7 linked regions of the Danio rerio genome follow. The protein of the gene in region 6 purifies or fractionates together with the protein of the main gene of each other region. This does not show direct contact. Links are inferred from orthologs where the notes say so. Each region holds a gene or a part of one and is shown on either strand. Other genes may lie near its edges. The genes, in order: cables1, pcna, cables2a, cdkn1a, fibpb, cdk5 and tmem94.

Region 1 (3,500 bases), on a different chromosome or scaffold from region 6:
TCGGCTTAGTCCCTTTATTAATCTGGGGTCGCCACTGCGGAATTAACCGCTAATTTATCCAGCATATGCTTTACGCAGCGGATGCTAAATTCAAAACTAAATTTTTTAATTCAATACTCACTCATAAATCTGATTCATTTGTGGAATTATGTATGATTTTTACTTGTGAATTCACACATTGTGTTTTTAATTTATGAATTGGATTTGTGCATTTATGAATTGTGTTTTGACTTTACCAATTGGATTGTGTAAATGTGAATTGTGCGACTTTTGTTTTGCAAATGTATTCTTCTTGAGACCATATCTGGCTCCATACTAGAGCATTGAGTTGAGTATGTGGCATTGTGTTTGGTGTTGTAGCCTGAAGAGAGAGATCCGGAAACTCACCCAGGAGGAGTTCGGCTATGAGGAGTCTACAGTGGCCATGGCCTTTGTTTACTTCGAGAAGCTGGTGCTTCAGGGCAAACTCAACAAACAGAACCGCAAACTCTGCGCCGGAGCCTGTGTCCTCCTCGCAGCCAAGATTGGAGGAGACCTGAAGAAACATGAAGTCAAGCTCCTGATCGACGTAAGTTTATTTATATTGTTGTAGCATCGATAACGCATTTTGTCACCACACATGCAAATAACATGGAACACAACCGAAGGATTGCAAGGAGACGCAAAAACTGGCTGGGATTTGCTTATTGTGCAGAACAGAGACATTTTGAAGAATGTTGGAAACCTGTAACCATTGACTTTCATGGTATTTTTTTTTTTTGTACTGTAGTAGTCAATGGCTATCTATTCCTTCATTGAAACATTGTTTAAAATATTTTCTTCTGTGTTCAATAGCTTGAGTCATTTAAATCTGTAGAGTGTGAAACTGAGAAAAAGGACTTCATTCTAAACACTTAAACTGGAAATCTGGCAACCAGAAAAACAATTAAACTTACTCAAGAAAACTTGTCTATATGATTAAAGAGTAAATGTCTCATAAATAACAATAGCTCATTTTCGACAATAAATTAAAATAAAAAACCCTGTTGCGATAACCTGGATTTGGAACAAGTAAATATTAAAAATAAAATGTTAAATAATAAAACTGGAAATCTGGCAACCAGAAAAACAATTAAGCTAACTTGTGAATGTTCCATAAACGTCAATAGCTCAACACACAACAATGTGGACTTATCGCAATATCTAAATAATAAAACTGGAAATCTTTCCAACTAGAAAGTCAATTAAAGCTACTTAAGATAACTTGTTCATTTGATAGAAGAGCGAATGCCCCATGAATATCAATTGCTCATTTTCAGCCATAAACAAAAAAATATAACCACTTTGTGATAACGTGGCCTTGTCGCAACAAGTAAATACTAAAAATAAAATAATAATCTGGCAACCAGAAAAACTGTTAAACTAACTAGTGAATGTCCCAAAAATATCAATTGTTCATTGTTAACTATAAACAAAAAAAGTAGCCACGTGTTGCGACAATGTGGACTTGGTACATGTAAATAATAAAAATAAAATAATAAAACTGGAAATCTGGCAACTAGAAAAACAATGGAACTAACTCAAGATAAGATATTAATAGCTCATTGTTAGCCGCAAAAAAAAAAAAAAATGTAACCACATGTTGCGATAGCATGGACTTGGAACATGTAAATAGTAAAAATAAAATAATAAACTGGAAATCTGGCAACCAAGAAAATCAATTAAACTAATTAGTGAACGTATTTTATTTGGCCATAAAAAAGGTAACCACATGTTGCGACAACGAAGACTTGTTGCAACGTTAAATAATAAAAACAAAACAATGAAACTGGAAATCTGGCAACCAGAAAAACAATGCCACAAAAATATCAATAGCTCATTTTCAGCCATAAACAACAACAAAAAAATGTAACCACAAGTTGCCACAACGTGGAGTTGGAACATGTAAATAATAAAAATAAAATAATAAAACAAAATCTGGCAACTAGCACATATCAGCAGCTCATTTTTGGCCATAAACAAACTTTCTGCCTTTTGCACAGCAGTAAAATAGGCCCCCTGAGACTAAAATCAGACATTGTAGAGGGAAAAAAGGCATTCTTTAAATCTCAATAGGGTGTATTTTTAGACGTTCCGCTGTTGTGTAAGGGTTGTCTTCGATTACTGTTATGTAACGAAACCCCCTGATCTCTTTCCATCTAGAAACTGGAGGAGAGGTTTAGGGTGAACCGTCGAGAGCTGATCGCCTTCGAGTTCCCAGTTCTGGTGGCTCTAGAGTTCAACCTGCACCTCCCCGAGCACGAAGTCATGCCGCATTACAGACGCCTGCTGCAAAACTCCTAGCGACAGCCCCATCAGGAGAAGCCCAGCGTCTCTCCTGATCTCCCCCAGAAAAAAACCCTATGCACATCGCCAACGATCATCTCCAGATGTTGGAACGAAGACACTATTCCACTGTTCTCCTTTCGGCCAAAGTGACAGCTCTTTCGTTTTGACTTGAAGAAGCTACTTTCTAAAGGGAAGACCTCTTTCCTAGACTGTTGATTTTTCTCAGTTAACTGGGAACATTTGTTTTCCTGCTTGCAGGTGTTAGACATACTGAGGGTTCTGTCAGCATTTGATCGGCCCATGTTGTTCGAATAAGGTTGTTTTTTTTCTCGATGAAACACAAAAGTAGAAATCGCTGATGTTTTCAATACAGTGGCGAGCTACAAAAACGCGACAAAATTGGTCCGTTTGACCAGTGCTCTGTTCTGAAGCCGTAGTTTTTTTTTTAAGTAGAAGACTCAACGTTCATCCAAAAATGAAAAACACGCCAAACTTGTATCGCTTGGTTTTATATGCAAAACACGTTGAAATTCCGAAATATTGACCGTACAGTGTAAATAAAACCTTTTACAGAAAACAGTAGTGAACAAGTAGAGCTGCACGATATTGGAAAAATCTGACATTGCGATATAAAGTTTTTCTGTCATATGTACTGCGATATATTGCATCTATACAATTTCACCTAATAATTAAATAGCACTACTTGGAAAGAATTTATAGACACACTTTATTTTAAGCAGAGGGCTTAAAAAGGGCCGGTGTCCAGCAAAGTTTAGCTCCAAGCTCAATCAGAGACACCTGGGCTAGCCAATCAATCTCTTACTAGGCATTCTAGAAACGTCCTTGCAGTTGTGGCAAGTTGGAATAAAAATCTGCAGGACAGCGGCCCTCCAGGACAGAGTTTGGGCACCCCTCGTTTTAGGGCTCATTTTAAGAGACTGACTTTTTTTTTTTTTTAAGTCACGCTCCCGACAGGTATTATTCCGCACTCGACCCCTGGAGGGCCGGTGTCCAGCAAAGTTTAGCTCCAACCCCAATTGGACAAACCTGGACTAGCTAATCAAGCTCTTACCAGGCTTTCTAGAAACATCCTTGCAGGTATGTTGAGGCAAGTTTCAACTAAAATCTGCAGGACGCTGGCCCTTAAGGACTGAGTTTGGGCACCCCTGATTTTAAGGCTTACTTCCCGCTAG
Region 2 (4,051 bases), on a different chromosome or scaffold from region 6:
TCTGATAAAATCCCAGATAATTATTAAATCACTTATAACCTACTCTTTTAGGGTAGCTTTTTAGATTTATTATTATTGTAAGCGTTTGATTATATTCATTGCATTTTTTTTGCATTCATCCTGTATGCATCTTTAACAGCTGCACATTATGTCTGTAAAGTGCCCCGAGATGCTACTTTTAAAGGTGCTAAATGAAAATAAAGCTGCTTATTATATAAATCTGATCAATCAGATGGGGCCTTTACTACCTTTAGCCCCGCCTCCTAAGTAGTTGCTGTTCTGCTATTGGCTGGATTGGCTTAAAGGTGAAATCAGAGCTAAAAAATGATTCTCACTAATAGTGCTTTAAAGACTAAAGGTTTGCATCTTGACAGTTTTAAGTCTGAATTAGATCTGGAAAATATATTTTACTTGTTTATTGCAAAATCATGAAATAATTTTTTTAAAACAGCTAATTAAATTGACTTTTTCAGAGAAATGTTTGATTATAGAATATATATTGCATATTTTTCCCAGTATCGTGCAGCCTTAAATGAATAGTATGTTACCGCTTCATCCTCCTTGTCGACGTTGCTGGTCTGTGAGAGCTTGATGTTGCCTGTGCCCAGCTCTCCGCTGGCAGAGAACTTCACGCCATCCTTGGCACACGAGATCATGACAGCATCACCAATCTGTGACAGATCCCTGCAGATGCGGGCAAACTCACCCGACGGCATCTTCACCACACAACTGTATTCCTGCTCCTGAGGGGAAGAGAATAAAGCATGATCATTGCAGACAAACATCCACGATCATATCAGAAATAAACAGGAATCAAGAGAGGGAAACTCAATAAACTTTAAGACCTCATCGCCATTTTAGGTTTTAACTTAACATTGGTGACAATTCAACTTGTAGTATATTTACTAAATACTGATTGTAAGAAACGAATCCTAAACTAAATCGGTCATGTACTGAATAAAAATGCTAATCCCAACAGATGGCACCTATAGAACAGCAGGAAACATAGGCTTGCCTTTATTACTGCAGTAGACAAAGCAGTGTGATGCCAAATCTAGCAGGATTTTATCAATTTCATAAACCACACAGATTAAATTTAGGCAAACTTTAGCACACAACTACACATTATATAATCATAAAATGACCAAAACAATTATATCTTGTAAAACAACAGTTAAGGCTGTTTAATACCAAATTGATTTATCAACTTTTAATGACCCTGCAGACACCCTGTTATAATAAAGTCTTACTGGAATGCCAAGCTGCTCCACATCCAGATCCATCAGTTTCATCTCATAGTCGGACACTTTCTCTTGATCTGAAATGAGATGTAAATATTAGTATGGATTATTAGCTCTCCAGCAAAACTTAACTTTTGGTTTCATAGTAATAGTTGATAACATGGTGAAGAAAATCCATACTAGAAGCATTTTTTTTATGTGATGTTATTAACCACAAAATGGCTCCAGTATCTATGCGAATTTCATTCTTACATTTTTGGAGAAAATTATTATTAGAAAATTATTTTTAAATATTAAGTATTAATTATTTAGCTTAACTTTAATGATTCATTTTAAACCAAAGCCCATGTTTTTAACAGGTATTGCTGATAAATCGATATTAAAATACTGCAAATATAAATTTAGCAACATAAAATAAATTCATAATAAAAAAAAGTTTTTTTTAATTGTACACTATCAAAAGTATTGCTATTCCTAGTTTAAAAAGAAGTTAACTTACTGAGCGTTTCAAAGACCAGTGCCAAGGCGTCAGCATTGTCTTCAGCTCTGAGTGTGATGATGTCTTCATTTCCAGCACACTTCAGAATCTTCGACATGCTAGGAAACAGATGAATAATAATCAAAACACGTTCACTTCAGGTAGAAAAACACCATATTGATCGTAAAATGGTTTACCATTTACATTCGAAACAGTCATGGCATACACAAAAAGTGTCTAAGCAGGTTTTCTTTGTCTAACACCAGAGCCATGTTGTCATTCAGCAACCCGGCATTTTCTTTCCCGCCAACAAGCTTAAGCGCGCGCAAGTGACGTCACGATCAGTAGAGCGTGGGACGAATGCAGGAAACTGCGCGCCAAATTAAACTGATAGCCTATTTAAAACACAACCGTAAAACGGCATACTTTAATAACAACTACTGTAAATAAAATACTTTTGTCACTTTATAGTCTAAAAATGGCGCGCTGCTGTGTAGAGGCGCAGCCCCGGGCATGCGCAGACATGTTCAAACTTCACTCACCAAGTAAATACGAGTCAAATAACACAAAAGGCGCTTGATTTAGTCAGTGATTTTACCTGCTCAGATTGACCCCCATGGCTAGGTTTCTGTCGCAGCGGTAGGAGTCGAACCCGTCACTCCGGAGCGTCAGCTGCACCAGAGACACATGAGAGGAGTCCATACTCTGCAGAGAAATGCCCGACGAGCTCACATCCCAGCAAGCCTCGGTGATCAGGTCTTTCAGAGCCTCCAGGACCTTCTTAAGGATAGATCCCTGAACCAGACGTGCCTCAAACATTGTGCTGCTTTCTTAGTTTAGAGTAGGAGGAACTAAAGTTATCTAATCCTGTTACGACACAAGCTGCGGCCTGGTTAACTGCTTGTTTTCCAGCACAGGAAAGCAGAATCCTAAACTATCCTAGAGTTTAGCAGGTACTAATGCAGAGGAGGCACGGTGCAGATGTGCTGTCCACTGTTCTGGCGAGGCTCTGAATGTAACTGCGCGCGCTTTCGCCGGGATTTTGTTAAACTGACCCACTGTTGCCTTCGTCATTTCCGCTGACGTTTGACTCCTCCTGGAACGCAGACAGAACTGCGGACACTGACCAAAAGAGGGCGCAATTTGGTCAGAAGGTATGAGTTATTCACAACATTTATGAATACCCATTACAGTGCGTTTTAATAACCTTTACCCCCACCCAAACCCTAAACTGACCCGTCACTGTGGTGTAAAATATTATATATTGTCGTACAGTGTGAAAAATGATGCTATGTCAACGTGCGCATGCCCAAGTATCCACAACTGTATCCCTTTTTTTGTTTCTTTGACAAATTACTGTGCTGTTGCTAGAAGGGATACAGCTACGGTCGGCAGTTAACGAGAATTATTTATAAAATTTATAAATACCCATTACAGTGCGTTTTAATAACGTATACCCCCTAACCAAACCCTAAATTGACCAGTCACAGTAACGTAAATTATTAATTATTGTTGTGCAGTTTACCAAAGATCAGACTATGTTGATGTGCGCATGCCCAAGTATACGCACCTGTATCCCTTTTTTGTTTCTGTGACAAATTACTGTGCTGTTGCTAGAAGGGATACAGCTACGGTCAGCAGTTAACGAGAATTATTTATAAAAATTATAAATACCCATTACAGTGCGTTTTAATAACGTATACCCCTAACCAAACCCTAAATCGACAAGTCACAGTAACGTAAAATATTAATTATTGTTGTGCAGTGTACCAACGATTGATGTTGATGTGCGCATGCCCAAGTATCCGCAACTTTTTGTGTAACACATGTTTTGTTGCTAAAGGATATAGCTGCGGTCTTCAGTTAACAATAACTACTTATAATATTTATGAATACCCATTATAATGCTTTTTAATAACGTCTACCTTACCCAAATCCTAAATCGACCCATCACAGTAACGTAAAATACTGTTGTGTCACAAAAATCATGCTATGTTGATGTGCGCATGATCAAGTATCCCACAACTGTATCCCTTCTTTTGTTTGTGTAACACATTTATGTATGTATATATATATATATATATATATATATATATATATATATATATATACATACATACATACATACATATATGTGTTACACAAACAAAAGAAGGGATACAGTTGGGGATACTTGAGCATATATATATATATATATATATATATATATATATATATATATATATATATATATATATATGTATGTATGTGTGTGTGTGTGTGTGTGTGTATGTATATATATATGTATATATCTATGGTGTAACTGCAGGTGCGGTCTTCAGTTAAGGATAAT
Region 3 (4,123 bases), on a different chromosome or scaffold from region 6:
CGAGAAGTGCCATGGGATTTTTAATGACCACAGGGAGTCAGGACCTCGGTTTAACGTCTCATCCAAAAGACGGCGCCCACTGACAGTGTAGTGTCCCCTTCACTTTTACTGGGGCATTAGGACTCACGTAGACCACAGGTTGAGCGCCCCCTGTTGGCCTCACTAACACCACTTCCAACAGCAACCTAGTGTTCCCTAGTGGTCTCCCATCCAGGTACTAACCAGGCTCAACCCTGCTTAGCTTCAGTGAGTAACTGGTCTTGGGCTGCAGGGTGATATGGCTGTGGCCATATCCAAAGTCCAAAGTCACCAGGGACATACATCCTGGATTATCTTCTTCACATGTTTGATTTTTTTACTCGTCTATATTTCAGTCTGGCCTCCTATCAGACCATATCATACTTATGTTAGGTTTTTAAACCTTTCTGACCTATGCTCAGGGACTAAAGGGACTAGCATTCCACACTCCTTCGGCTGTGTCCCCTCGTATCAGTTACACAATTTCATAGAAAGATAAAATAACAAACATCAAAGTAGTCATGCATGGTTTAACTGAGAAATTAATATATATGAATTTTCACCACATCATCAACACTTGAATAGCCTGATTCCTGAACAAATCTGTATTAGGATGTTCATACTACTTGTTCAAATGTATTCATTTATTTAATCTTGGGAGTCCTGGAGTGTGTGACATGCACATTGTATTTTTTTTACGTAAAAAAAAAAAAAACTTTTATGAAGTTTATTTTATTTAAGAACATTTGAATATGCAAAACTGTTTTGCATCATGCTGGGTTGTGATGATATTTTCTCAGCTGAGAAAGCTTATAAAATGTGTTAACACTGAACCAATGAACTACAATGGGCAGCATTGTTAGTATGAAAAGTAATACTAGAGAGGTCACTCCTTTGTGGTCAAATCTTATGACATCATGTCCTGGTTAGTTTAGATGTGTTTGATTGCTCTTGTGTTCATACTTCAGTTAAACCATGACAGGGTTCATTTGAAACTGGACTGAGACCCAAATCTAAGTTAGTGTCATGGTGTATTAGACGTTGTGTAGAAATTAACCAATTTAATACTGCTTTATGCTATAGAAAGTAATATTTTATTAGTTAATTTACAAAAATGCAGTTACAGAAACACTTTTAATACATGCTAAATACTTTATATTGATATAATGAATGATATAGATTGTTTTAGAAAATGTATTTTTAAAAGGATACATAATTTGATTATCTCTAAAAGATCATCATCATATTTTTTATTTAATGCCGTGTGAGCAACAGAAACTATTTTTAAGGCATTTTTTTATTTTGTTATGAATAAATATTCAATTATCACTGTTACGTCAGACATGCATGACTTCAGACATTAATTAACGTATTTGACCCTAATTATTGCATTAAGCTGCCTTGGAATGTTCAGGTCTTGGAGTGGGACTTGGGTTAAAACAAAAAAGAAAGAAGAATACTGTAATATATAATAATAATAATAATAATAATAATAAAACGTAGTTTTCCTTCAAGAAATAAATATTCAATTACAAAACCACAAACATGAATACAAAATTAGATAAGATTTTAAAGGTTAATAGATGATAGAACTTTAAAAAACATTAAGTGACAAGTTGCTGAATATCTTCTTGCCCTCTTACATATAAATAAAAAATGTCTTATTTAGTATTTGCTAGCGATTTCTTTATAATAAATAAAGGATTAAGGTTAAGGATTCAGATTCTGAAATGAGTATCATTTCCATACCGACATGCTTATCAAATATCGCAGAAATATTTCCTGTCAAACTCTTAGACAACTTAGAAAACAACTCAAAGATGAAAATGAAAGTTTGACAATAAGGCGGAAGTCAGCATTTCCCCTCATAGATTATTTTGTTTTGTTTTTGACACTGTAATATGCACCGTTTAAATCTCCACTGCCTCAAAGTCATAAACGATTGTAAACATTGGTTAAAAGGCCAGATTCAGTTATGGCTGTTTACTTACATGACACAACATCAAACCAAAGTCCCTTTATAGTCTGATCAAACACGAAATAGGATTTGTGAATAATCTTTTAGCTTGCCAATTACATATCCAATTGATGACAAATACACTTATATAGAGGTTTGTGTATGTCTAGACTGAACATTTGCCCCACAATCTTTATAAAATATGTAATTTACGCTTACAATGCGTTACAAGAAATCAAATACGCCTGTCATTGTTTGCTAACCTGCGTGAAAAAAACAAAACCAACCTTTGACGCGGATCAGGCAGAGGGTTAGAGCTCGGGAACTGGCTGGGGGATTTACTGGATCCCAAAGCCGTATTCCGAGGTCCAGCGGTCGGTGATAGAGGGGGAGCCTGGACTGACAAAGGATCTGATCGTCCATCCTCCGTGAAAACGTCGCTGCTCCCTTGGTTAAGCGCCGGAGGAGGGCTCATAGGAGCAGGGTAAGTGTTAACGTTAGTCCTCGGTATAGGGGTAGCAGCTCCTCCGCTAATGGAGGATGACACTTGGGTGAAGGTTCCGTAGCTGCTGGTTGTCGACAGAGGGAGACCCGCCACCGCCGCGCCGACATCCACACACCGGCTGTCGACTTCCCTGGGGCCAACGAGTCCATTGCTCAGGTTGTAAACCGGGCGTCCATCTAAAGATATATTAGTGAGAAACAACAACGCCGCTTGTCTGCGACGAGAATCCCGGCTTTTTCGCAGCAGTTCTTTGTGTGGTTTGGCTGAATTAGTCCTCGGACAGCCGCGAGGACCGCAAGCGGCGGCCGCCATTCTACTGTGAGTAAGCTAAAAGCAGACAGAGCTATTACACCGGCGGAGAGACTAGCCACGCCTTCTGTCTCCTGATTGGTTCGAATTCCTGACAGTTGCATATAAATGAGTTTTTACTGTAGCGGATTGGACGAGAGGTCTTGGTTCATAAATTTGTACAACAATTTGGCTTCAAATCTGCAGACGAGACGACGCTAGGAATTTTAGACATCTGTTGCTTTCTATGATAAATGTTACATTTCAATTAGAGTTAAACTTATGTCTGCTCATTTATGTACATTATTTATAATGGTATATATACACACATATGAAAAAAACAACAACTCTGGCTTCATTGGGTTTGAATAAAATGTTAACATTTGTTTTATTGTATATAACATATTTTTATTTGTTGTGATTGGAAATATAGGTTTCCCCTTTAAATAGTGTCTTAAAATAAATATAAACCTTTCTCAAAATATTTATTTTTGTTATTTTATGTAAATAATAATAATAACAATAATGTTAATAATAATAATAATAATAATGATAATAATAATAATGTTATTATTATAAATAACTAAATATATTAATGAATGAATGAATGAATGAATGAATAACAACTTACCCCACTGTACTCACCTTATGCAATTTAGATTTGTCAACACAATACATTTGCAATTATTCGTTCATTTTCTATTATGCAATTTGAAAATGTATTTACAATATAATGCTCTACTGTATTTTGTAATGTCAGAATGTCTTTATTGTTATATGATGCTGCAAATGTAAGCCTAGGTTTTTCTAAGCTCATTCCAGGTGTTGAAGCTTATCTGCAAAGTCCACTATGTTATATAAATAGACTGACGTCTGTAACAGCTCATAGGATAATAAAAAAGGATAAAGAAAAAAGCAATTTCCGGATACTTTGGTTTGATAAAATGTTGGCAGCAAGAGCCATAATCAGAACTTGATTATATGTATTTCTCAGAATAACCACTACTGCTTTATTTTCTTTATTTTACAAAACCAAACTCATTAACATATGCATTTGTTTGCTATTATTTAGGCAATTGTTTGAGAATAAAATATGTCTGAGAGTGCTACTTCTGAGCTGAAATACACTTGCAGTTCCACATTATGTGATGTAATCGGGCTTCAGCTAATATTTTATAATCTACTGATCCTCTGTTAGCAGGGAATTAACCTAATCTGCCTGCTCAAAATACACTCAAAAGTTTCGAAATGTTAAGATTTGTCAATGTTTTGTAAGTCTCTTCCATGAACCAATGTTGCAATTAATTAAAAAAGTAATTGTTGTGTAATATTTTTTCAATTCACTGTTTTCATGT
Region 4 (2,933 bases), on a different chromosome or scaffold from region 6:
TTGTTTCTTCGAATTCCAATTTTTTTCGTTTGCATCTTGGAATTCATACTTTTTTCTTGGAATGCTTAGTTTACATGTTGAAATACGGTTTTATTTTTTTGCTTGGAATTCAAAGTTTGCATCTTGTAATACTGCTTTTTTTTTAGTTCTGATGTTATGTTTAAAATTTACAATTCTGGCATCTTTGCTTGGAATTCCCAGTTTGCATCTTGAAATACTGACTTTTTTCTTGGTATTATCAATTCACTCTTCAAAATTCCAACTTTTTATTCCTTTGAATTCTGAGTTGGAATACTGACTTTTTTTTCTTGGATTTGTAAATCCACACCTGATAATTCTGACAAAATCTGGGTTTTCATCTCACAATATATATTTTTTTGTTTGTAATTTTTACTTCTCCTAATTCTAACTTTCATTCTTCAAAATCTAAATTTACATCTCACAATTCTGAACTGTTTCCTAAAGGAATTCTGACAATTAAAAAAGTAACAAGAAACCAATTTTATATCATAAACAGCTTTATTACAAGAACAATTACATGTAAATCTACAATACAATATTAATCTGTAAAATAAATACAGCATATATTTTGAGCTCTTTAACAATAACAGACCTGTGCAAGCTACACTACTCCAAAAAATAAAAACAAAACAAAAGAAACCCCAAGTGCAATTCTCAATCGACGGCGAATTATCCAATAAACAGGATATTTACAGACGGGTCGCAGAAAACAAGCAGAGTTCTAGAGCTGGTAAAGAGCTGAATGCTAAACTTCAGAAAGCCGACAGAGCTGAGATCTTGATTAGGAAACACATGAAAGCTGGTGTTCGTACTTCTTATGAAGTTTATTTTAATGTATTTGTAGAGCGTTTGTAAATATGATGTAGTGTCAGCGTTCATGGAGCAAGAGCAGAACACACTTCTGCGCAAATTCGTTACGAAAAATGCTGTGTTTTAACAGTCTTTTGTGGTCTAATCTGATCTATGTTGTATTAAAATTGAAATGCGTAAAATTGCGTCAATTCTAATTCTCGAATTGACGTTTCACGCAATTAGATTTTCACGCTAAACCTAATGCAACAAAATAATTTCACGAATAAATTGCGCAAATAATTATTTAATTCTTTGTAAAAAAAATGTGCATGTTAATTTTCAGTTTTTTTTATTTCTTATTTTTTAACTTTTTTTATTGTCATTGCAATATTTCTTATATATTTGGTAGAATAAGTTTGTTGCTATAATTATTCTTAAAGCATTTCTATACTAATTCTGTACAAATTTAACAAAAAAAAATGTTTTCCAAAAGATTTGCATAATTCTTACAACATTTTGTGCACGTAAACTTTAAGCCTACATTTATTTCAACACAAAAACTGCATAAAAAAAATTGTGCAAAAATGTTTTCGTTAAAATAAACGCAAGAATGAATTTGTTCTCTCAGTTCTATCTGCTCGTGTTTCATGAACGTCGCCAAGTGTTTTTTTTTTAAACAAAGTTTAATGTAGTAGAAAAACGTAATTGCAGCTCAATTACGATAAAGATGTGAGAACTTACTGGCAGCTTCATGAAGGTTTATGTGTAAAATAACATAAAGGGTTAGAATTATAAATAGAAGAAGAGGAAAAAACAACATTTGGCACCAAATGTTTAGAGTTTTAAAACATTAGCTACGTTTTGTGCAATAAGGCAATGTGAATATGTGCACGCTGAAATAAAAATCAGCGCTTTATATTGTTCGTAATGAAACAGTTGTCATGATTCTGTGGTCCCGTCGAGAGACAATCTCTGGAAGACTGAGGAATGGATCTTTCCAGAACATTTCCACTTGTAAATGTTAACCGTTGACATAAAACGGTTGAAATAAAAACGGAATAAACGGTGTCGTCTCTGGTTCCTGAAGGTCGTTTTCTGTCAATAACGCTGCTACGAGACGAATGCAGCTCCAGACAGATGAAGGTAGATGCAGGTCAAGAGTTTATCTGTGTGTGTGTGTGTCTCCTTCAGCTACTGGCCGGATTTGCGCGGCGTGGCCACTAGACGCTTCTTGGCTTGGTAGAAATCTGAGAACAGAGAGACGATATTATTTGTTTATTATTAGTCGAACTCACGCTTTAAATTTACATCAGAATACAAGCAGTTTAATATTACTACAATAATACTACACTCAGTGGTTCATTATTATAACAAAAAAATTAATTCTAAATTTGTATTAATGTAAAAATATCTATCAATATGCGATTATGTATATAATTCAAATATGCGATAATGTAAATCAATCTGTGTCGTGTTTGTTAGCTGAAGTTTTTGGTTGATTAAAGTACAATATAAAATAAATACGCAATTTAAAAAATGCATTAAAATATAAATATTAGATGAAAAATTTAAAAACAGAAACTTAAAACTTTACATCTAAAAATTCAACACTTTTAATAGGGTATTATAGAAAAATGCATAAAAGCAGATCATCAGAGAGTTGCATTATAGAAACACTACGACATTTATTTATTTATCTTTCTTTAATTTTTGTTATTTAAAAAAATAATCAACAAACAAACATAGCTATATACATAAATAATAACAATACTAAATAATAATAATAAAGAGGTCTGACCTGTGATGTTGGTCTGTTTGCGCTTCAGCTCGCTGCTCTTCTCTGGGGTTTTCTCCACTTCATGCGGGAGTGCAGCACATCGTTCTGGTGTTTTCGGGATGTTTTCCTTTCCAGCGGCGGACTGTCCGGGCTGATGAGCCTCACAGGGCCGTTTCTGCTGCTTTTCCTGACACGCGCGGTACAGTAGTGGCACGCGCACGCCGGACACGCCCTCCCAGTGGAAGTCTCCGCCCTCTAGTGGTTTCTCAGACGCAAAGTCGAAGCTCCAGCGTCGCGATGCGTCCTCCAGATCGCGCCGTAGCGCCGCCCGGTACTCACGCTG
Region 5 (2,699 bases), on a different chromosome or scaffold from region 6:
GTTTCAAAACAGCTTTACGAAAGGTGCAAAATAATACATTACAACAAAATTAAGTTCAAGTTACTATCAAATATAAGTTATTATATCTAAGCATAGTTAACCTGCAGTTTTGTAGTATATAGGTGATGTCTACGTGTACATGTGCAATGAAGTGTATTAAGTGTATGTTTTGTCCTTAAAATTCTCTCTTCACAGGCCTTGGATCCCATATAAATGTACTCGTTATTTATTTGCCTTCAAGTGGTTCCAAACTCATTTGAGTTTTATTCTTATGTGGAACTCAAAAGAAGATATTTTGAAGAATGTTGAAAACCGATAACCATTGACATCTATAATAGGAAAACAAATACTGTGGAAGTGAATGGTCACAGTTTTCTGCCAATTTTCAAAATACCTTCTGTTCAGCAGAAGAAAGAAACTCAAACAGGTTTGAGACAAAGAAAGGATGAGTACTTTTAATTTTGAGGTGAACTACTGCATTAAGAACCAAGCATATGTCCCTGTTTGCACCATGTATTAACAAGTGTTTTAGTGATCTGATCACAAGTGTGCAGCGAGATACCACCTGGTTTACTACTACTAAATCACATTATAGTGAGTGTTTTTTATGTGCAATAGTGAATGGCAAAAATTTAAACAAGCTGAGAGGTGATGTACAGTATGACCATTTTTTTTTCGGAGAAGATTAATGGTTGAAGGTTTCACAAAACAAAAGATCTTTGAAAGGTGATAACATTCTTGTTTTCTTTCTGATACTTTCTCAGACAACATGATTGAAGATATGGACGTTGATCTTGAAAAAGATTTTCTACATGACTTGAAAGACTTGAAGGTCTTGGTGAATGATAAGGACTTGCTGGACCAACACAAAAGGCAAGCAAGTTAATTGCCAGATGTAATGGTGTGGACATGTGCTGTTTCTAACATTTCTTTTCTCTTTGCCAACACTAGTTTGGTGTGTGGACAGCTTAGAGGGAAAATAAAAGTCTTTAATGAGATGGAGGCCAGTTTTAAGGTGAGCAGCATGTTTTTTTAATTGTAAAGTCATATATAGATGATGATTTTAAATATATTGGGAATAAAATAAATGCAAAGATCAAAAGTGCCAGCAACAAGAATAGAGCAGTTTTAAATAAATGATTTTCTTTTAAAAAAAATTATTCTTTCATCAAGTGATCCTGAAAAAAGAATGGTAAAGGAACACTCTTTTTTTTGAAAATAGGCAAATTTTATTTCCCCTGCAGTTTAATTTTAGTTTAGCCATTTTGAAATTCATTCCACTAATATTCAGGTCTTTTGGGGGCAATTTTAGCTAAGCTTAGCATTAATTATTGAATCAGAATAGACCATAGCGTTGCACTCAAAAATGTTCATATTTAAAGCTTGGCTATTCTGTGGTTACAATGTGTACTAAGACTGATGAAAACTGAATAGTTGCTATTTTCTAAGTTAATTTGGCTTTGAATTATACCAGGGTTTCCCCATATTAATCAAGCAACTTTGCTGCTGTATTATGGCTGAAGCAGGAACAATGATGTTACACAGATTCTGCTGGTGCAAGTGTTGCGCTTGGTGATGGGGAGTATTTTCATGCACTGTGAAATATCATTGTGCCTGCTACAGACATGGTGAATCTACAAAGGATGGTACAAAACACAAAATGGGTCAGTTTAGTTTCTAATCACAATCTGGTATTGTAACACTAAGAAATAACATACATCAGTATAAAATACATAGTTTTATAATCTACAATTTACAGTATTTAAAAAAAGCTATTCTAAAAATTTAAAAAAATCTGAAATTAGGCAGATTTTAGGAAATCTGAGATTTTGATACAGTAAGATGAGGGAAAAGTTAATTCTAACCTCTAATATAAAAGAATAAACATAAGACTTCATATCTTTAACTATAATATTAGACTGAGCTCTTGTAGCTATAGCTCAGGGCTCTAGATTAATTCCTTCATTCATTTATATTTACATACATATACAGTCGAGGTCAGAATTATTAGCCCCCCTTTAAATTTTTTTGTCTTTTTTAAATATTTCCCAAATGATGTTTAACAGAACAAGGAAGTTTTCACAGTATGTCTGATAATATTTTTTCTTCTGGAGAAAGTCTTATTTATTTTATTTTGGCTAGAATAAAAGCAGTTATTAAATTTTTAAACCCCATTTTAAGGTCAAATTTATTAGCCCCTATTAGCAAATTTGTTTTTATTTTTCGATAGTCTACAGAAAAAAACATTGTTATACAACAAATTGCCTAATTACCCTAACCTGCCTAGGTAATCTAATTAACCTACTGTAGTTAAGCCTTTAAATGTCACTTTAAGCTGTATGGAAGTGTCTTGAAAAACATCTAGTCAAGTGTTATTTACTGTCATCATGGCAAAGATAAAATAAATCAGTTATTAGAAATGAGTTATTAAAACTATAATGTTTAGAAATGTGTTGAAGAAATCTTCTCTCCGTTAAACAGAAATTAGGGGGGGGGGGAAATAAACAGGGGGACTAAGACTTCAGGGGGGCTAATAATTCTGACTTTAATATATATAATATATAATTCATGAGAGAAACACACACAAGCAATTATTGAGTTTTGGTGGCATCTTGAACAAAAATCTTTAAAATGGTAAAACATGAAGCATGCAAGAAATGTTGCCTTAGTGAGTGAATGAATTCAACAGCTAGGCCTAT
Region 6 (3,500 bases):
TTATTTTTTTACAATTATTATAGATGTTTTAAGGGCGACACGGTGACTCAGTGGTTAGCACTGTCGCCTCACAGCAAGAAGGTTGCTGGTTCGAGTCACAGCTGGGTCAGTTGGCATATCTGTGTGAAGTTTGCATGTTCTCCACGTGTTGGCATGGGTTTTCTCTGGGTGCTCCGGTATCACCCTCAGTCCAAAGACATATGCTATAGCTGAATTGAATAAACTAAATTGGCCGTAGTGTATGTGTGTAAAAATGTGTGTATGGATGTTTCCCAGTAATGTGTTGCAGCTGGATGGGCATTCACTGTGTAATTCATATGCTATAAAGGGACTAAGCCGAAGGAAAATTAATGAATGAATAGATGTTTTAAGGCTGTAGAACCCCTCACTGCACACTTTATAGGCTTTTCTCAGACAGGCATCAACATTTTTCCTGCAATCACTGATACTCAAAGCTAAATATATATACCTGTATCCTGCACTTGCTGCTGTTGCACTGCTGGTTAGACCTAAACTGCATTTCGTTGCATTGTACTTGTACATGTGTAATGACAATAAAGTTGAATCTAATCTAATCTAATCTAATCTAATCCAAAGCAGACTCCATGCTTACGATGGTCTTGTTGCAGACAGTTACAACCCTTATTGTAACTTTGTTGAAGCTTATAGCTGCTGTCATCTTTATGTTATTTCCGTCCTTTTTTATGTAAAGAGCCGAAGATTTATTTATTCCGTAATGGTGTCCTACAGCTACGAAACTTGTCTTTATCATGTCTAGAAGTCCAACTTTTTGTGCGATAAGTTAGCATCTACTTCAGCCTTTTGGGTACTTCCGCAGGTGCCTTTGACGGTGCAGGGATTTGTAGAGAGAAAACTTGCAAACATACTTCAGAGTCACACTGCTTGATTTATGTTAATTTTAGCAAGCTGAACGCATTTTGTACTGTACAGGAGACGGCACGGAGGAGATGGTCTACAGCCAATCAGGACGCAGAACACAATGTGCTAATCAGGACGTAGAACACAATGCGCTGTAAAAAAAGTGTCTAATTATACAGAGAAAATCTGCAAGGCTGTGAAAGGTGAACCGCGAGAGACCACTGTATTTCTCAAATTGCTCATTTCTGTGCACACATTCCCCTTGTTACTGTGCGCTGTTTATTTTTCAGACAGGTGAGTGATGTACCTTATAATCTGGAAGTTTATTCATAGTCTGCCACTGTTCTTCTGTTGGCGTTCCCAGCAATGTGGCAGAATGTTAAAGTTAATCACACAGGTTATTATTATAAAAACTACCACCACTCACCCTTTATTAATCTGCCTACTTTTAGCAACAAGCTTGGCAACTTAATTATATTACTTGGCAGAGGAATTATGAAGAAAATGCTAATTTAACCCAAAAGTGAGAACAGTTGCCTTGGTAACTAACTGAAATGTATTGCATTTGAATCACTTAAAATAAATAAATAATTTATTATTATTATTAAGTTGAAATAATAGTAGAAACCTGAGATATTAACTTGAGGTAATATATATATATATATATTTTTTTTTTTATTAATATATATATATATATATATATATATATATATTAATAAATATAATATATATATATATATATATATATATATATATAACATATATTATATATATATAATATTATATATATTATATATAATATATATAATATATATTATATATAATATATATAATATATATTATATATAATATATATAAATTGAATATTAAGGAAAAGTCCATTTATTTTAATAATTTGTTTCATAAAGTGAAACTTGTGTGTTATTAGTTTACTGTTTCATACAATTTCATGTCAACAGAAAAAAAACATGACTTATTTTACCCTTGTTCATATATACACACAGCAAAACCCCCAATGGAATTACTACACATATAACCACCAAAAAAACTTTGTTAATAACAATTATAGATAAATAACAGTAGTACTGTTTTATCCATATTAATCTTAAAAGGATCGTCTGGATGTAAAGGATATCGAAAGATCCTCTTTAGCTGATCGTCCACATCGTTACCAGGAAATAAAGGCCGTCCTGCATTTGCCAGTTCTACAAAAAAATTATAATAATACTTTATATACTATAGTTATTATCAATATTACAAGACAATAAAATAGTGTTTTGTTGTACCTGCAAATATACAGCCTGCAGACCACATGTCGATAGAGGTAGAGTAGAGTTTAGCACCAAACAGTACATCCGGAGGCCTGTACCACAACGTCACCACCTGAACAAAACCAACAAAAAGATTAAAACTGCTATAGTCTACACGAACCGGAAGTTACTGAGACTTTTATTAGAGTAATGCTGATGTACTTCTCTCTGAAACTGAATAATCATTAGGGGGCGGGGCTTCCTTATTTTGCATAATTTCCTCAAAGCCACTAAAAGTAAAAGGGGCGTGGTAAAGAATATTGTGGCTGAAGCCGTCAAACTGATGTCAACAGAAAAGGAGCCAATCCAAATGCAGAAACAATTGCTCAGACTTTGATTGAAGATTGAAGACCAAAACAAACTTATTTGTTTAACGAATTACTTACACTGATTAATTGTTCACCCAAAGAACAAGAAAGTGCGCTAGCAAAACAAACATTGTACATTTTGATTTCATGTAGACCTGGAAATAAAACCAACAATATAAAGAAAAGTGGCGTCTCTGACCTCAGCAGAATAACAGCGTACAGGGATCCCAAACGCTCTGGCCAAGCCGAAATCAGCCAACTTCAGTTCCCCGTTCTGAAGACAACACAAAAATACAGAATTAAAGAGAAAGCGCTTTTAGTAGCACAAGCAGAAATAAAACAATTCCAACTTGATTATGGTGCCTTACACACTCAGTGCTGGGATTAAATAGTTACAAAGTTACTTTAACAGATTACTTATCATTTTAGGTAAATTAATTACAGTTTAACTATAAATATGGTACATTGAAAGTTAACCATTTCAATTTATTTAAAGGATAAGATGAAACTAATCTTATTTTCAAGAGGGTCCCATAAAGACATGACAAAAGACAAAAGCAAAACAAAAAAGGTACAATTACAAACACAGTTTACAGGTCTGTAAAATCGTCAATATCCAAATCCAGCTAACTCAGTGATCCACGTACGAAGAATGGACACCCAGTCGGGACAGTGTATGTATATATAGTGTGTGTATATATAGTGTGTGTATTTACAATAGTCAACATTTGAAGGGGATCATCGGCTTTCAGCAAATTTGTCCAAAAAAGATTGAACATTCTTGTCAATTAAAAATAAATGAATAAATAAAAACTAAAAACTTTAAGATTTTTTTAAAATAAAGCTAAAAATGCTCCATTTGACTTAAAAGATTTGAGAGTTTAACTTACACTTTTTAAGCTTTGAGATTTTCTGAACCCAAGTAATCATATGTAGTCAAGTAATTAAATGACTTGAGTAATGAAGCAAAGTAATAAGAATATGAAGTAATTTAAATACAATT
Region 7 (3,500 bases), on a different chromosome or scaffold from region 6:
CTGTATGCTTAGTAGTTGGCTGGCGGCGTGCAGGAATTACACTTATTACTAAACCATACTTGCATGCTATTTCAGACTAGAATATTCAGAGTAGCCTGGTCAACAATATAGGGAGCGCATCACAGGCTGTCATTGTTCAACAATGAACCATTGTGAATATAAAACCAACTTCACCTCAGTAAAGCAAGCTAGGTGAAATAGCGCTATCTACTTATGTTTTGTTGTTTAACTAAATAAAAATCTACATTATCAATGCTGTAAAAGGTCTCTTATGAAATTGAAAATTGTCACATCAATTGTTCACTGGTGGAGATCAGTGGCTGAACAACACTTCTGTGCATGTAACCCATTTGTAACAACATCTACATAGGCTTTGGATGAATAAAATACTTTAATTAATTAAAATTTTAAAACAATTTAAAAGAGAACATTACCTGTCTAAAAGAAATACCCAAATGCAAAAATAACAATATTGTTATTGTTAACAATAATATGCAATATTGATTAAAGTTGAAAAATTTTAAAATTTTAAAGTTTTGATTGAGCACTTGTTTTTCACACTCTCACTCGTGTCCACGTGATCGATGTCTGTGTGAACCGTGCATCAGCGGATCTGCGCAAACAGATGCGCAGTTGTTCAAATCTATATTTGCTGACAGACAGTTTGGGCTACTTATCAGAATTATGGGAATTATCAGCTCGACAATATTAAATTGGATGAACATTTTTTTGGTTTTATGTCTTACCTAGAATATAAAAATACATAAACACATTTAAATCGTTTACTTTAATTATCACTATTGCAGTGTAGAGAGACTTTCAACCATCACAAAAAATGTTTCTGAAGACAATCACCTTCTACACCTTCTCGCGTTACATTTTTAAAAAAGTAACTCCGATATTATTACTTTTTTTTTTTAAAAGTAATGCATTACTGTACTTGCTACTTAGAAAATTAATATTATTATATAACTTGTGTTACATGTAATATGTTACCCTTAACACTGGGAGTGTGAAATTAAAATTAAAATCTTGATTAAAACAGTTTTTTAAATGTCACACATGTACAGTTTTTGCCTAATAACCTAAAAAAGCAATTTGATTGTTTATTGACAATATTTGACATTTGTAATGTGGACAGTTTTGATTTTACATAGACTTCATATTAATGCCAAGAACTAACCATCTTCAGTTCCCGCAGTGCTGCTCTCCTGTAGCTGCTGCCTCAAGCTTCAACTTGTTTGCTTCAAGTTCTAAACCTCCAGTCATTCAGTCAATTCAATTTCCCCTCTCCCTTTTACTGCTTTCTGCTGCAAGGTGCATTAATCTTGTTCTTGTGCTTTAATGAAACTCCACTTAATTTCTAAATGCAGCTGGATAAACCCAAGACTGGATAGGATAACACTGCTTTTTTTCCTGCTTAACCTACCCAGACTCTGCGCGTATGTGTGTGTACGTGTGTACGTGTGTGCGCGTGTCTGTGTCTGTGTTTTGAACCAGGTTTCAGGTTTCATAAATCCTGACACTTTTGCAGAGCCATTCGAAACCAAGAGCTGCTGATAGATGGATTTGAGTTTCTGTTGAATATGAGACTCATGTTGTGCGCATGTGTGTGTGTGTTATGTGTGCATGTTTACAGGAGATGCTACGCTGTGTGTGGAGACACCTGGTCAGTGTGTTGAAGGGAGAGTCCCAGACCCTGTGTTATACCTCCAGTCTGCTGCACACATTGGGTTCAGTCACTGTGAGTGCTCCCCCTGGCGTCACATACGAGATATTAGACTTCCTATTTCTAGATTGATGGAAAAAATAATTAATGTTCACTTTAAGATTGTACTTATGTTTTATTTGAACCTTGTAATCAATTTACAGAAGGAGCTGACATTGAGGAGAGCAGTTGTAAAAACAAATAACAAGTGTTTACAATGAATAAGACGAGAGCATGTGTGGAATCCTACAAATAGGCTAAACATAAACATCTTTAAAGTGCATATTCTTGTACATCCTGTCTTAGCTGTCTTTTAAATGCCGTTAAATAGATTATCAATGTTTACAATATTTCTGTGGCACTTGTGTGGTAAACTCTTAAAGGGATAGTTTACCCAACATGAACATTTCCGCACTATTTCTTCACACTCAAGTTGTTTTAAACATTTCTAAATTTGTTACTTCTGTTGAACACAAAACAAGATATTCTAAAGCAGTGTTTCTCAACCACGTACCTGGAGGACCACCACCACTGCATGTTTTGGATTTCTCCTTTGTTTGTCACAAACATTACAGGGGTTTCAGTCTTTGCTAATGAGCTGATGATCTAAATCAGGTGTGTTTGGTTAAGAAGACATGGAAATATGCAGAGCTGGTGGTCCTCCAGGAACATGGTTGAGAAACACTCGCTGTGTCAAATGGCATGCTATGTACATATGCACTTACACACTCAACAGCATAGTATATGTATGTCGTGTTGTCCCAAATGGAACACTAACGTTGTTTTATTAAGAGGAAATTCAAACCGTTTCCCAGATGACATTTGACGGTTGCCAAAATAGTGAAATAAAGGACCAAAGTACCAAATAAGACCTGCCATGCGTATAACCACATTCACCATCGGAAAGCGCTATAATCAATCTTGTATCAGAATTTTGCTTTCACAATCCAAAATAAATAAAGTTATCAAATATGTGTGCCCGAGAGCTCTGCCCCTTTTACTATGCGAGCAAAGCTGCGAATGTTGAGTGTGTTAAGTGTCCATTATTCCACACTTAAATTTACCGGTTGAGTAAGTGCATCATCAACGTAATTAAAGTGCACTTATTATTTTTAGAGTTTTCAGTGTGAATGCACTACTTAAACTATTTATACTACAAAATGGCGAAGAATTGTGTGCAAGTATGTGATTTTGGGACGCACCTAAAGTTCTAAAGCATGTTAGAAACCAGCTGCCATTGACATCTGTAGTAGTAACAAAAAATACTGTGGTAGTCAACGACTAACCAGTTACAACAGAATGAAGGAACAGCTTTGGAGCAAGTGGAGGGAGAGTAAACGATGACAGAATTTACATTTTTGGTATCGCTCTAATCTGATTTAGTTTTACTGAAATTGTGCACCCTAAAAAATAAACTTCTGTAATCATTTACTCGTCACCACATTTTCCAAACCTGCCTTCTGTTAAACACAAAAAAAGAGATTTTGAAGAATGTTGAATATTGATAGCCCCTCACTTCAGTAATATTTTTTTACTGCTATAAATTTATGTCAATGGCATTAGGTTTCTTACATTCTTCAAAATAGCTTACACTTTGTGTTCAACAAGAGCAGTAACAGCAAAAAAGAAAGTCATATAGGTTTAAAAGTACTTTTGTTTACTTTGTTAATTTCTTTTTAACGTGATTTGACGGAAGCAGTGGACCTTAGTCATGGTAGTGGCATCTTTTAAATTTTAAATGAAATAAAAATAAGGCATCATGGATTAAAGTACATAGTTTTTTTGGATTTGG

The links.
Region 1: the proteins of cdk5 (region 6) and cables1 purify together in Homo sapiens (affinity purification with mass spectrometry; 7 studies listed by BioGRID and IntAct, counting the BioPlex papers as one, with this or other methods). This does not show direct contact. The link is inferred for Danio rerio from reciprocal best matches to the Homo sapiens genes CDK5 and CABLES1.
Region 2: the proteins of cdk5 (region 6) and pcna purify together in Homo sapiens (affinity purification with western blotting; 3 studies listed by BioGRID and IntAct, with this or other methods). This does not show direct contact. The link is inferred for Danio rerio from reciprocal best matches to the Homo sapiens genes CDK5 and PCNA.
Region 3: the proteins of cdk5 (region 6) and cables2a purify together in Homo sapiens (affinity purification with mass spectrometry; 6 studies listed by BioGRID and IntAct, with this or other methods). This does not show direct contact. The link is inferred for Danio rerio from reciprocal best matches to the Homo sapiens genes CDK5 and CABLES2.
Region 4: the proteins of cdk5 (region 6) and cdkn1a purify together in Homo sapiens (affinity purification with mass spectrometry; 5 studies listed by BioGRID and IntAct, with this or other methods). This does not show direct contact. The link is inferred for Danio rerio from reciprocal best matches to the Homo sapiens genes CDK5 and CDKN1A.
Region 5: the proteins of cdk5 (region 6) and fibpb purify together in Homo sapiens (affinity purification with mass spectrometry; 7 studies listed by BioGRID and IntAct, counting the BioPlex papers as one, with this or other methods). This does not show direct contact. The link is inferred for Danio rerio from reciprocal best matches to the Homo sapiens genes CDK5 and FIBP.
Region 7: the proteins of cdk5 (region 6) and tmem94 purify together in Homo sapiens (affinity purification with mass spectrometry; 5 studies listed by BioGRID and IntAct, with this or other methods). This does not show direct contact. The link is inferred for Danio rerio from reciprocal best matches to the Homo sapiens genes CDK5 and TMEM94.

What each region holds. Positions count from the first base shown.
Region 1 is NC_133177.1:4,629,900-4,633,399, forward strand, and holds part of cables1 (CDK5 and ABL1 enzyme substrate 1), read left to right. Parts: intron 1-360; coding exon 361-568; intron 569-2,181; coding exon 2,182-2,322; 3' UTR 2,323-3,500. UniProt on the Homo sapiens protein: Cyclin-dependent kinase binding protein.
Region 2 is NC_133185.1:46,058,752-46,062,802, forward strand, and holds the start of pcna (proliferating cell nuclear antigen), read right to left. Parts: upstream 2,801-4,051; 5' UTR 2,539-2,800; coding exon 2,318-2,538; exon of another isoform or gene 2,265-2,317; coding exon of another isoform or gene 2,233-2,264; exon of another isoform or gene 2,043-2,232; intron 1,839-2,042; coding exon 1,741-1,838; intron 1,319-1,740; coding exon 1,251-1,318; intron 744-1,250; coding exon 549-743; intron 1-548. Other genes in the region: E3 ubiquitin-protein ligase TRIM69, read left to right, coding at 2,233-2,264. UniProt on the Homo sapiens protein: Auxiliary protein of DNA polymerase delta and epsilon, is involved in the control of eukaryotic DNA replication by increasing the polymerase's processibility during elongation of the leading strand.
Region 3 is NC_133198.1:33,838,653-33,842,775, reverse strand, and holds the start of cables2a (CDK5 and ABL1 enzyme substrate 2), read right to left. Parts: upstream 2,801-4,123; 5' UTR 2,793-2,800; coding exon 2,263-2,792; intron 1-2,262. UniProt on the Homo sapiens protein: Unknown. Probably involved in G1-S cell cycle transition.
Region 4 is NC_133197.1:620,015-622,947, forward strand, and holds the end of cdkn1a (cyclin-dependent kinase inhibitor 1), read right to left. Parts: coding exon 2,612-2,933; intron 2,061-2,611; coding exon 2,005-2,060; 3' UTR 501-2,004; downstream 1-500. UniProt on the Homo sapiens protein: Plays an important role in controlling cell cycle progression and DNA damage-induced G2 arrest. Involved in p53/TP53 mediated inhibition of cellular proliferation in response to DNA damage.
Region 5 is NC_133196.1:27,046,622-27,049,320, reverse strand, and holds part of fibpb (acidic fibroblast growth factor intracellular-binding protein B), read left to right. Parts: intron 1-764; coding exon 765-873; intron 874-951; coding exon 952-1,015; intron 1,016-2,699. UniProt on the Homo sapiens protein: May be involved in mitogenic function of FGF1. May mediate with IER2 FGF-signaling in the establishment of laterality in the embryo.
Region 6 is NC_133199.1:37,952,665-37,956,164, forward strand, and holds part of cdk5 (cyclin-dependent kinase 5), read right to left. Parts: intron 2,772-3,500; coding exon 2,697-2,771; intron 2,263-2,696; coding exon 2,166-2,262; intron 2,085-2,165; coding exon 2,015-2,084; intron 1,248-2,014; coding exon 1,187-1,247; intron 1-1,186. UniProt on the Homo sapiens protein: Proline-directed serine/threonine-protein kinase essential for neuronal cell cycle arrest and differentiation and may be involved in apoptotic cell death in neuronal diseases by triggering abortive cell cycle re-entry. Interacts with D1 and D3-type G1 cyclins.
Region 7 is NC_133187.1:35,542,304-35,545,803, reverse strand, and holds part of tmem94 (transmembrane protein 94), read left to right. Parts: intron 1-1,639; coding exon 1,640-1,744; intron 1,745-3,500. UniProt on the Homo sapiens protein: Could function in the uptake of Mg(2+) from the cytosol into the endoplasmic reticulum and regulate intracellular Mg(2+) homeostasis.